Drosophila melanogaster: one gene and its partners. The protein of the gene in region 1 interacts with the protein of each later gene in a pairwise test. Each region holds a gene or a part of one and is shown in the gene's direction. Other genes may lie near its edges.

Region 1 (3,417 bases):
AATATTAAATATAATTACCTTGATGCAAATACAAATATTTGGATTTCTAAACATTACCAATTAGATTTTCCAATTGGACTTTGCAGTCTAGTTGGACACACACGGACGCACGCACACGCGCAAACTTCAATATGGCGGCCGCGACAAAAACGAGACAGAAGATCCTTCTGCTGATCTTACAAAATCGGATAAATAAATAAATTTGCTAGTTTTTTTTTTGTTTTGGGCAGGGCTCGCGTGCTTAAGTTCAACTTGAAAAAGTCGCAAGTGACTACTGTGCGATCCCTGGAATCTCAAGCGGGAAAAAAATAAAGATAAAATGTGTACACAGGTACATACATACATATGTACATACATATATGTATTTATGTACGTAAGGAGCAGCTGCCCTCTTTTGTTGTTGCACTTAAAGTCGCTAAAATGCGGTGCGTTCGCTTGTCAAAATTGCAGCAGCATTCAGCCTTTTTTATGTTAAGAAGCCACAAAGAGATGACGCAGTCGAAATGGTTAAATGAATTAACCCTTTTACTTTGCACAAACACACACACACACATGTGCTTGCAACAGGCAATACAGTGGCTACAACAACAATAGCAGACAGGGCTTTGTGATTTTTCTGGCCGTTCTTGTAGTTTTTTGCCCAACACACGGATTAAGCTACACCCTCGGAAAAATATTCGACACAAAATCACGCGATTTAAACTAAAAAATAAATAAATAACACAATTGCGCGGAAACTTGGGAATACACGGCGCTAAGGATATCGATTACTTATTACTTATTACTTTTTATCGATTCGCATCGTCGGAGCATTCGCAGGGTACTGCCAACTTATCTCAATTTCCTAAAGGTCATTGAACTCAAATATATATATAAAAAAACGAATGTAGCATTGCATTTATAGCCATTGATTAATATGAAAGGAAAGTATGTATAAAAGTGCAACCAGTATTTGAACTTGCATAAGTTAAAAATCAAAAGTTAGCTTAGGTCCTATGATTACACCAATCTATTTGACCAAAGTACATAATTAAATATTACATCCAAAATTCAATTGTTCCTGTACAAGTGTACTAACTTTTTGGCGTTTCATGAGCGGCTCGTGTGTACAAACATTTATTTAAATGCTTACCCCCACCCCGTAGCCACTTCAGATGAAGCTGGAGCTGGAGCCGAATCTGAAGCTTGGAGCTTGAAGTTTGGAGCACGGTGGAGAATTGCGCGTAAATTCGTTGCGGTCTGCGCGTCATCAACGTAATCGCCGTCAACAGCAGTCAACAGCATCAAACTGGCAGGCAAATGTTGCTACTGTTTCCAGACGCAGTCCGTCCGGCCAACAGAAGCAAACGAAGCAACAGAAGCACCAACCGCCGCAGTGAAGTGGTTTTTTATGATCAGACGAGATGAGCCGAGCCCAAAGCAGCACTTTCCATCCGAGAAAGAAACCGAGGCTACAACAAAAGCGTGTCTTTCGAGTTCGCTAATGGGAACTACATATATGTATGTACATACATATGTACATTCCGGGTACAAAGTGCATTTTGTGGAAACCCTTTGGGCAGAATGTAAACCATTAACAAATTGTAGCAGACCTATGGCCTATACATTTCTTATTTGTTTTAACTGTTTTGACTCTTATAAATGAACATATTTTCAAGAATCTGAATTAAATTGTAAATTAGTAGAATGAAGCTCTTTCGAAACTACCTCGCTTTGCTCCTTCCGTTTGATCATTTGACCATTTTTGACCATTTGCTTTAGGTTATGGCATTTTGTCCATTTCGTATTGGTCATTCGGTTTTGGCCATTAATTTCGTTATATCATTTCGTTTTTGTCTTGCTTTGGTTATTTCGTTTTGGTCTTTCATCTTAGTCAGTTCGTTTTGACCATTCGTTTGGGCCGCTTATGTAGTTTTAGCCAAATCTTTTTGACCAAATTGACTTGAGCTTAGTTCCTGGCTCTACATATTCTGTTATTTTTTTTTTTTTTTAATTTTTGAGCTGGAATTAAAGCGTTTCACTTCAAACATAGTACACCTGTCGCACAGACTTATTGTAGTTAGTTTTGTCAAGCGTTCGAAGCGACTGCAGAAATGAGGGTCTACTTGTATCAAATGCGCCCGGTGCTCTTTCTCTTCTACATGGTGGAGACGACGGCCAACTTATTCGTTTTGTACTACCAACTGAAAGCATTTGTTTTCGTCAATCTGACAACGATGAAATGGGAAGATGTTCTAATCCAAAGCTTTTATATGTCCTTCTTTTACATATTCACAGTGGTAACGCTCTTTGCCAGCATAAATCTCTGCACCGGTCATCGCACATCGATCGTTGAGGAAGTTGTGCGTCCTCTGATCGGATTTGTTCTATATACGGTAATATCGTTGATGGCACTGGGCGATGCCGAGACGGATTTCTATATATGGTATGATGGAAGGAACCCGGATGATTTACTATATCCGGAGAAGCCGCTCCATCCGTTCTTCGGTAGCCTGCGGGACCAGGCGACAGCCTCATTGGTGTCCAGTGTTATCTATCTGCTGCACTGCCTCATTGCGTTGGATGTCCTTCTGTCGAATGACGATTCGGATAACGAACGCGAGTCATCCAATTCCTCCGACGATGTGAACGAAGAGGTCGACTACGTTCCAGTGCGTCTGTACGTCTTTGGCGGCGTGATGCAACGCTGGCTGGAGCAGTTCGACTGGTTTCAGGACTTTACCCACAGTGGAGTCACAGATATCTGATATTTTATCATTAACTTCATTTATACAACTACAAATTACATGATAAACAAAACTTCGCATCGCTTTTCTCGGTGATTATGCAGCCTTTGGATTTTGGTTACATTCGGTGCAAGAAACCCTAATCATCAGCATTCCCATGACGTCAGTGGGAAGCAACAGTTCGGTCTCTGCATCATATAAAGCTCATTGTCGTCAATGTGCCAGTGATAAGCAGCTGGGGCCAAAACATCTACATAAGTACGCGTATCTATAGTATCTATGTATCTTGGTACGAGTATCTGTATCTGCTAGTGCGCAGGTCCAAAGTTAAAGCGAACAATCGATATATGTACTATGATGTTTGGGGCAAAGCGGCAGTCAAGAGCAAGGTGAAGCATTGCCCCGGTGCTCCTGGGTGTGGTGCTTTTTTCATTCATAAAAAAAAACTGGTCCACATGACATGTGGACACATTCAAGGCTATTTCTAGACCAGACCAAGGATGTCCTTATGCCTCTCATAAACTATGCAATATGATTAGAAAGTCTGAATGTTTAGAATTAGTTTTATAAACTCACAAACTTCGGTGGATCAAAAAGTTTGGCCAGGTGAAGCTAATACTATGGCCTACTTTTCGGGGTTATTTTAATAATATGATTATTGCTGCCATGCTTTTGTATAAACAAATCAATT
Region 2 (3,232 bases), on another chromosome or scaffold:
ATTTCTTACAATTTTTCTTATCTATATATATTTTATATTTACTTTATATTTATATATATTTATTATTATATTCTGCTGTTGATGATGCTCATCAGGTGTCAGCTGGGCGTCGCCGGGGGTGGCACGCTGACACTCCCTCGCTGCTGTCTATTTCTTCGCCGCTGAAGACGTCGATGGTCGCTCACAAGTCCCCAGGCAGTGGGGACTCCAGATTCCTTCGCAGCCAGGGGGGCAGGACTTCTTTGGTTTTGTTAATGCTGGTGCTGGTGCTGGACATGCCTGGTATTTTGGAACTTCATTAATTGTGGGTATATTTTTAATATTATCTGAGTGAGTTTTCTCGAGCTTATGGGTCTTTAATTCTTGCTGATATTGCAACAAGTGGTCTAGCTCTGCATGTAGCTTTAGAGCTTTCGACCAAACCGGTGGCGTTTGCTGACCGTATATTAGCCACCTTACGTGGGCTATACGTTTATTCAGCTTAGTTTTCAAACCGCCACGGTGTTTGCCCATACTCAATAGAACTCTACTCACTCAGATTTTTCCTTGGTTTTTGCAGTTCCATTTAATTAGTCCAGTCTTCTTCCAGTCCAGTGTTCCTTTGTTCCTTTGTTTTCACCAGCTTTGGTCAATTCGTCCAGCGTTGGACGACTGTCACGGTCGCCATGTAATGATGAACTCCAATTCAGAACACAAGTCCGTTTTAAGTTGAAGGCAGCCGTCGGGCTGACATATATTTATTCAATTTCTTCTTTTGATTTTAGAGTAGGCAGAAATGGTTCTGTCAGCTCAACGTCTACAGAGTCTCTCTGATTTTACAGTTTTTAATATATTTGGACTTAGGCTAATCCGCGTAGCTGCGCTGCCGGGTACGCCAGCAGCGGAGCGGCGTTCTTATGTATATCTTATATATCTAGGCTTATCGGGAGAGCGAGATATGTATGTACGTATGTAATATGTATTTGGTCGGCGTGTGAATGCTGACCATGCACTTATACTTTTTGCCTTCGAGTGGGTGATCATGTTACATCCGCCCTGGCCTAACTGCGTGCATAAACATAAACATAAACATAGCAACAAAGTGCTGCCATAAGTTAATATGCTATTTTATTTAATTGTTCTTAATATTGCATAGGCACATACTACAGTTTAACATAAGAATACTTTTTTTTTTTGTTGTCAGCTTTAAATGTACGTGTTTTATTGCTAATTTTAATGTTCTAATTACTTTATTTATTCATTGGAAATGGGAATTCGCATAGACGAGCCCATCACGAAAATACTTACCAAAAAAGACAGTAGACTAAGTTTATACTAAAGATAATTAGGGGAAACCGCAAGAAAACAAAGAAAAAAAAAATGCAAAACGATAAACATTGTGGCGGTACAGTGAGCACTGCCTGCGGCCAACCTAAAAACATGACGAAATATTTTTTTTTTTTTTACATCGTGTATAAGATGTGATATTCGCTGCAAATCGCAAAGCGTGAATATAATTTGTATTTATACCTATATTAATGAACCATATAAAATATACGAATAAAGTCCAATACAGTAGATAGGCTACACATATGTTTTTTGTTTAAACTTCAGAGATGCTTGGAGTGTAAAAGCCAAAAATTGTATGTTTTCTATCTTAATAAATATGAAGAAAACCAAGTTGGTAATTTACTATTGGCAATTGTAATGCAGATATTGCGCATACGACATACGTGTAGCTCATAATCGGGAACTGCGCTTAAAATTTCAATTATAGACTTTATTTGTTGGTGTGTGGCGAATGTAAAGTAGCATCCAATTATTTAATTAAAATCTCCTGTCTACTTTTGAGCTGAATTAGCAAATCGATGGGTTATATATATAGAGCTGTGATGATGCGCTCATTGTTAGTTGGGAAACAGATTTTCGCCATGAAGGTTGTGTGCAGCATAGCTGTACTATGGATTTGCTTGATAACTATGGTCAGTTCTTAACGAAATAGTTATGTGTCCATCTAACAATACCATCTATTCTAGTGGCAATCAGCTGGCCGCGTTAACGCAGAGGGTTGCCTAAAGCACCACAATCTGACCAGTGCCCAAGTGCAGGCAGTGGCTCCATCCACTCCCGTTGCGGATGTTCCAGTGGCCGTTAAGTGCTATAGCCGGTGTCTGATCCAGGATTATTTCGGTGATGATGGGAAAATCGATCTGCAGAAGGTGGGAAAGCGAGGATCTCAAGAGGACCACGTGATTTTGTCCCAGTGTAAGCAGCAGTTCGATGGCGTCACCAATCTGGACACGTGCGACTATCCATACCTGATTCTCCAGTGTTATTTTAAGGGCAAGCAGAGTGGAACTATCGCCTCGTAATTTACCAAATAAACAAAAAATAAAGTATACATATATACATTACTACATACATATATGTACACACACATGACAGACACAATGGGCTTCATCACAGTTCATTGTTGAGTCTTCTAATCAGATCAAACGCCCTCTAATGGAAATTACACACGATTGTGCTTAGTATAAGTGTGATTTTCATTATTATTATTTGTATACAGTGATTAATAATTGTATTAGAGCAAAATAGTAGACATGCATTGTTTTAAACTCGTCTGCTTTTTATTGATTTGTTTTATGCAAAGTAACGTAGAACTGGTGGAAATACATAATGCAATAATAAGTCAATCAGAGTCTTTATTTTCCGAAAATTCGCAAGAAACATGGCCAAATAAATAACAGAAAATTTCAGTTTGCTGACCAAATATGTATGTATGCATGTACATATGTACATATATGGGTGGACTGGGAAGCCAAACACAAAATTTTCCCCCTGCTTGAATAATATTTGAAATGGCAGATATGGAAGATGCAATTTGAACATAATTGAAATGCAAATCGCAGACTGTGAACTGCAGAACCGACTTGATGGGGCGGATGTGTGGACGTAATAATGAATCCCAGTCGACCCCACAGGATGCAGGGCAAATTTCAATTTTCCCAGCAAATCATACGTAAAGTTTGGCCAAATACATTTTGGGCCAAGAGGGCCAAAAAGGGCCAGAAGGATGTCAATGCAATCAGTGAGGCATTTGACTTGGCCTTTCATTAACTCGACTCAGCGCAGTCGAGTGCAAAGGACACAGTACATAGTACACAGGACGAAAGACGCAGGACGCAGGACGCAGGACATGGCACACGAACTCCTTGGGCGACATTGCGGCTGCCACAAAAACTTTTTGCTA
Region 3 (3,534 bases), on another chromosome or scaffold:
TTCACGGCGGACATCTTGAAGTCGAGTGGCTGCTTGGGCGAAGCCAATGGCAACTCCTCCAGATTGTTGTTGTTGGACGCACTGGAGGCGTTTGGTGGGTTGTTGCTCCAGTCGGTCGGCTCCTGTTTGATGGTGAGGAAGTTGTGCGGATGTCGAAGGGTCGGCGGATGTGATGGTGGTGCCTGCTGTGGTGGTGGCGGAGGTGTGGCTGCCAGGCGAGAGGATACCACGTGCTCAAAGTGTGGTGCTTCATAGTAGTCCCGAGCTGAGGGGAATAAAACATGGGATTAGTCATCATTAGCAGCTGTGCTGAGTACTCTTACTCACATCTTTCGCATGCGCTCTCCCTCCTCAGACGTCGCTCGAAGACCAGGCCCACCTCGTTCCGCTCACGAAGTGCCTGCTCCTCGTACTCTGTCCGCCGCAGCGTGGTCTCCGCTTGGTCAGCACCTGGTCCGGCGGTCAGGGGACAACTGCTGCAGCCCACCTCCGTGCAAATGGAAATGGGCTGCGATGGCGGGGCACCTGAACCTCCAACTGATCCTCCTCCTCCTCCTACTGTTGTCGTTGTGGTGGTTGGTGGTGGTGGGTGAGACTGCGACTCCAACTGACCGGGTGCCGCGAAACAGCATTTGTCCTCCGGATCGATGGCCACCTCCTTGTTGACGGAAATGCCCAACTTGCTGCTGCTCGCGACGGTTAGTAGTCCTGTGTGGGCGGCCAATTTGGGTGACTTAATGATCACAGGCGAGTCCTTGGGCATCACGGAGGCACCAAGTCCACGAAACTGCTGCTGGGGATTATGGTGATTCAGGTGGCTGTGGTGTGACGACAGGTGGTGGTGATCCAAAGCGAAACGTGTCGATCCACCCGGCTTGCTGGCATATAGATCTCCCTGAAGTTGCGCCGACATGGTTGATTGTGGCGGCGGCGGAGGGGGCGGCAAAGCGGTTCGAGTGCCATTCGACATGTACATGGTGCTAGCCTCTCGCGGATGCAGATGCCCGGCCAGTGAATGGGGATGATGTGTGGTCGTGACCACTGAGCCGGATCCACCGCCATTGGAAGAGCTGGTGCGGCAGAGGCCACGGATCTTGAGGATCTCACCGCCGCGCAGGACCTCGTTAAGTATGTCGTTGGAAACTGTGGCCTCGCCGCTGTACATGTACTGAACCAGGATCTGGATGGCGCGATGGCTAAGATCCGGCGGCAGGACCACATACAGCACTCCATTGGGATTGGTGATCGGTGCCGTTTCGAACATGGTGGCGAAGAACTGGGACGAAGCACTCAGGATGAACTTGTGGGCCGAGATGCCCACTGTGGGTATATCCGAGGGGATGCCGCTGCTGTTGTAGGAGCTGTACAGAACCACATCGGCGAACTTTTCGTTCCTAAAGGGGAAATATGATGCGTTAATATAGCATATCTACGTATTTTGTAGTACTCTTGGAGAATATTGAAGAAGGGTTCTTAGAAAATGTGTGTTTAATCCTCTGACCCTGATACATTTAATGTTTTTAACATTAAACAATTAAAAACGCTGCTAGATCACAATTACAAAAAACAAAAAACTTCAAATATGTACCAACTATGGTACAGTGGTACTTACTTATAAAGTGTGGCTATGGAAGAGTTAAGATAGGTGAGGTGTGAGTCCCACTTAAGGTGATAGTTTTCGGCGGCCATCTCTGCGGCCGGCAGCTCCTGTACAACGATAAAATCAATAAATAAATCAATAAATGCCGCCAGTGGGGTGTTTATTTTGAATCTCCCGATCCCACCACACCACCCAAGGAGTGGTGAATAGAGGGTTTAGCCACCATGCTCTTGTGACAGCATATTTCTCACACGAAGCAACGGTCATACTTATTCGCTAGCTTCCATTTGTTTACATATTTTCATTTGTGTTTATTTTGAAAATATCAAAATGTCGCAGTTCGACACGCGACTTATTGAGCTGGTTAGGGCTAATCCCAAGCTTTATGAGCGCGAACTTAGAAACGCACCCTACGAAGCGCATAAGAAGCGACATCCGGAAATCTGGAGCAGCATCGCCACTTCATTAAATTCAGAAGGTAAGAAACTGATAAATTGTATAAATATTCCCTAATTCCTCATTATATTTTAACTTAGCTAGTGCCTGTGTCAGTCGTTGGAATCATCTGGTGGCCAAACAGCGTCGGGAGCTGGCCAAAGAAAAGGCCGGAGGCACTGGCTCCGATTGGAGTCTTCTGCCGCATTTGAAATTCCTGCAGCATCACCACCATCCGATTAATCACCGAAATTCGGGTGATCTGAGTAGGAGCACACTGAAATCCAGCGACGAGGTCAACGATGATGAGGATCCGCTCCAGGAGGCCATGGATGAGCAGCTGGCCGTTGCGGGAGCTGCACCAGCACCACCCACAAATCCTGCCCATGCAACGCCAGTGGCTCAAGCAGAAAAGAGGATAGAAGCCCTGCTTGAAGGACTGGGCGAAGCAAACCGAATTAAGGCGGAGAAACGCATTCTGGCCTACCTATGCAAATGCAATCTGCGCGCCCTGAACGACGAGCAAATCGATGATATAGTTATTTAGGAAGATTGCCAAGATGATATAGTTATAAAGGAAGATTGCCATGATGATAAGTTAAATACATACATGCCGTGATAGGATATCAAAAGTAGCAAACATCACTGATCATATAATTGTTTAATAATTAAGTCATTTTTGTTATAGTTTATATATCTGGACAATTATCTTAAGCGAATACTAAATAACTTCTTTTTCCAAATGTATGCTTCCCTAAAAAATATTGTTAATCCATTCATTTAACCTAATCTTCGCATCTAATGAAGTTTACTATACAAACTAACTATTGCATTGTATGATATGATAAAACATTAACACGCCTGTGATTAAATAGTTTATTTTATTTGAGGCTTAAGATTAGCAATTTAAAATTCAAGACAACTGGTAAACCCCAAACAAAGCATCAATTGTCGCCAGAGGTCATTTATAGAGCCAGAGACTTGCGGGAGTGTATAGTAATGCAGTAGGAAGCTATCTGTGTGGCAAAAGCCAACTTTGAACAGGCGGGCGGGGAGCAGGTGGAGTAGGCGAGGGAAAATCGAATTGAGCCACGCCAAAAAACTCCTACTATGACGCAGCTGCTGCTGGGAACTGGTCAAAGAGTCAAAGAATGCGCGCGCAAGCAATAACATGTCCAATATCCATGTCTGGATCGGATCGGGGGAAGGCCTCCAGCACGGGGACAGGGCGACGACGACGCCAAAACAAGCATTTAGTTTATTAATTTGACGACTGCCGCAGGGGGAGCAGTGGGCCGAAACAAAAACATAACGAGCGAGGAGCGTCGTGCACCCTTAACGACTGATGCCACACTACCACTACCCCCTCGTACCGACTGAGTCCCCCTTACTTCACACGTACATGGTGAACCCTCCGACGCACTAAGCCACTATATGAACCAACTACTCCTACGGCCAGCCACCTACCCACTAGACCATTCCCATTCCCAATCCCCGGA

What was found.
Region 2: the proteins of CG14315 (region 1) and Obp18a interact in a two-hybrid assay, tested with the Drosophila melanogaster proteins (one large-scale study listed by BioGRID).
Region 3: the proteins of CG14315 (region 1) and CG6683 interact in a two-hybrid assay, tested with the Drosophila melanogaster proteins (one large-scale study listed by BioGRID).

Annotation. Positions count from the first base shown.
Region 1 is NT_033777.3:18,156,677-18,160,093, forward strand, and holds CG14315 (uncharacterized protein), read left to right. Parts: upstream 1-2,024; 5' UTR 2,025-2,093; coding exon 2,094-2,747; 3' UTR 2,748-2,795; downstream 2,796-3,417.
Region 2 is NC_004354.4:19,134,522-19,137,753, reverse strand, and holds Obp18a (Odorant-binding protein 18a), read left to right. Parts: upstream 1-1,885; 5' UTR 1,886-1,910; coding exon 1,911-1,961; intron 1,962-2,015; coding exon 2,016-2,351; 3' UTR 2,352-2,673; downstream 2,674-3,232.
Region 3 is NT_037436.4:8,513,244-8,516,777, reverse strand, and holds CG6683 (uncharacterized protein), read left to right. Parts: upstream 1-1,856; 5' UTR 1,857-1,930; coding exon 1,931-2,078; intron 2,079-2,136; coding exon 2,137-2,582; 3' UTR 2,583-2,904; downstream 2,905-3,534. Other genes in the region: CG6765 (uncharacterized protein), read right to left, coding at 1-265, 328-1,394, 1,613-1,689.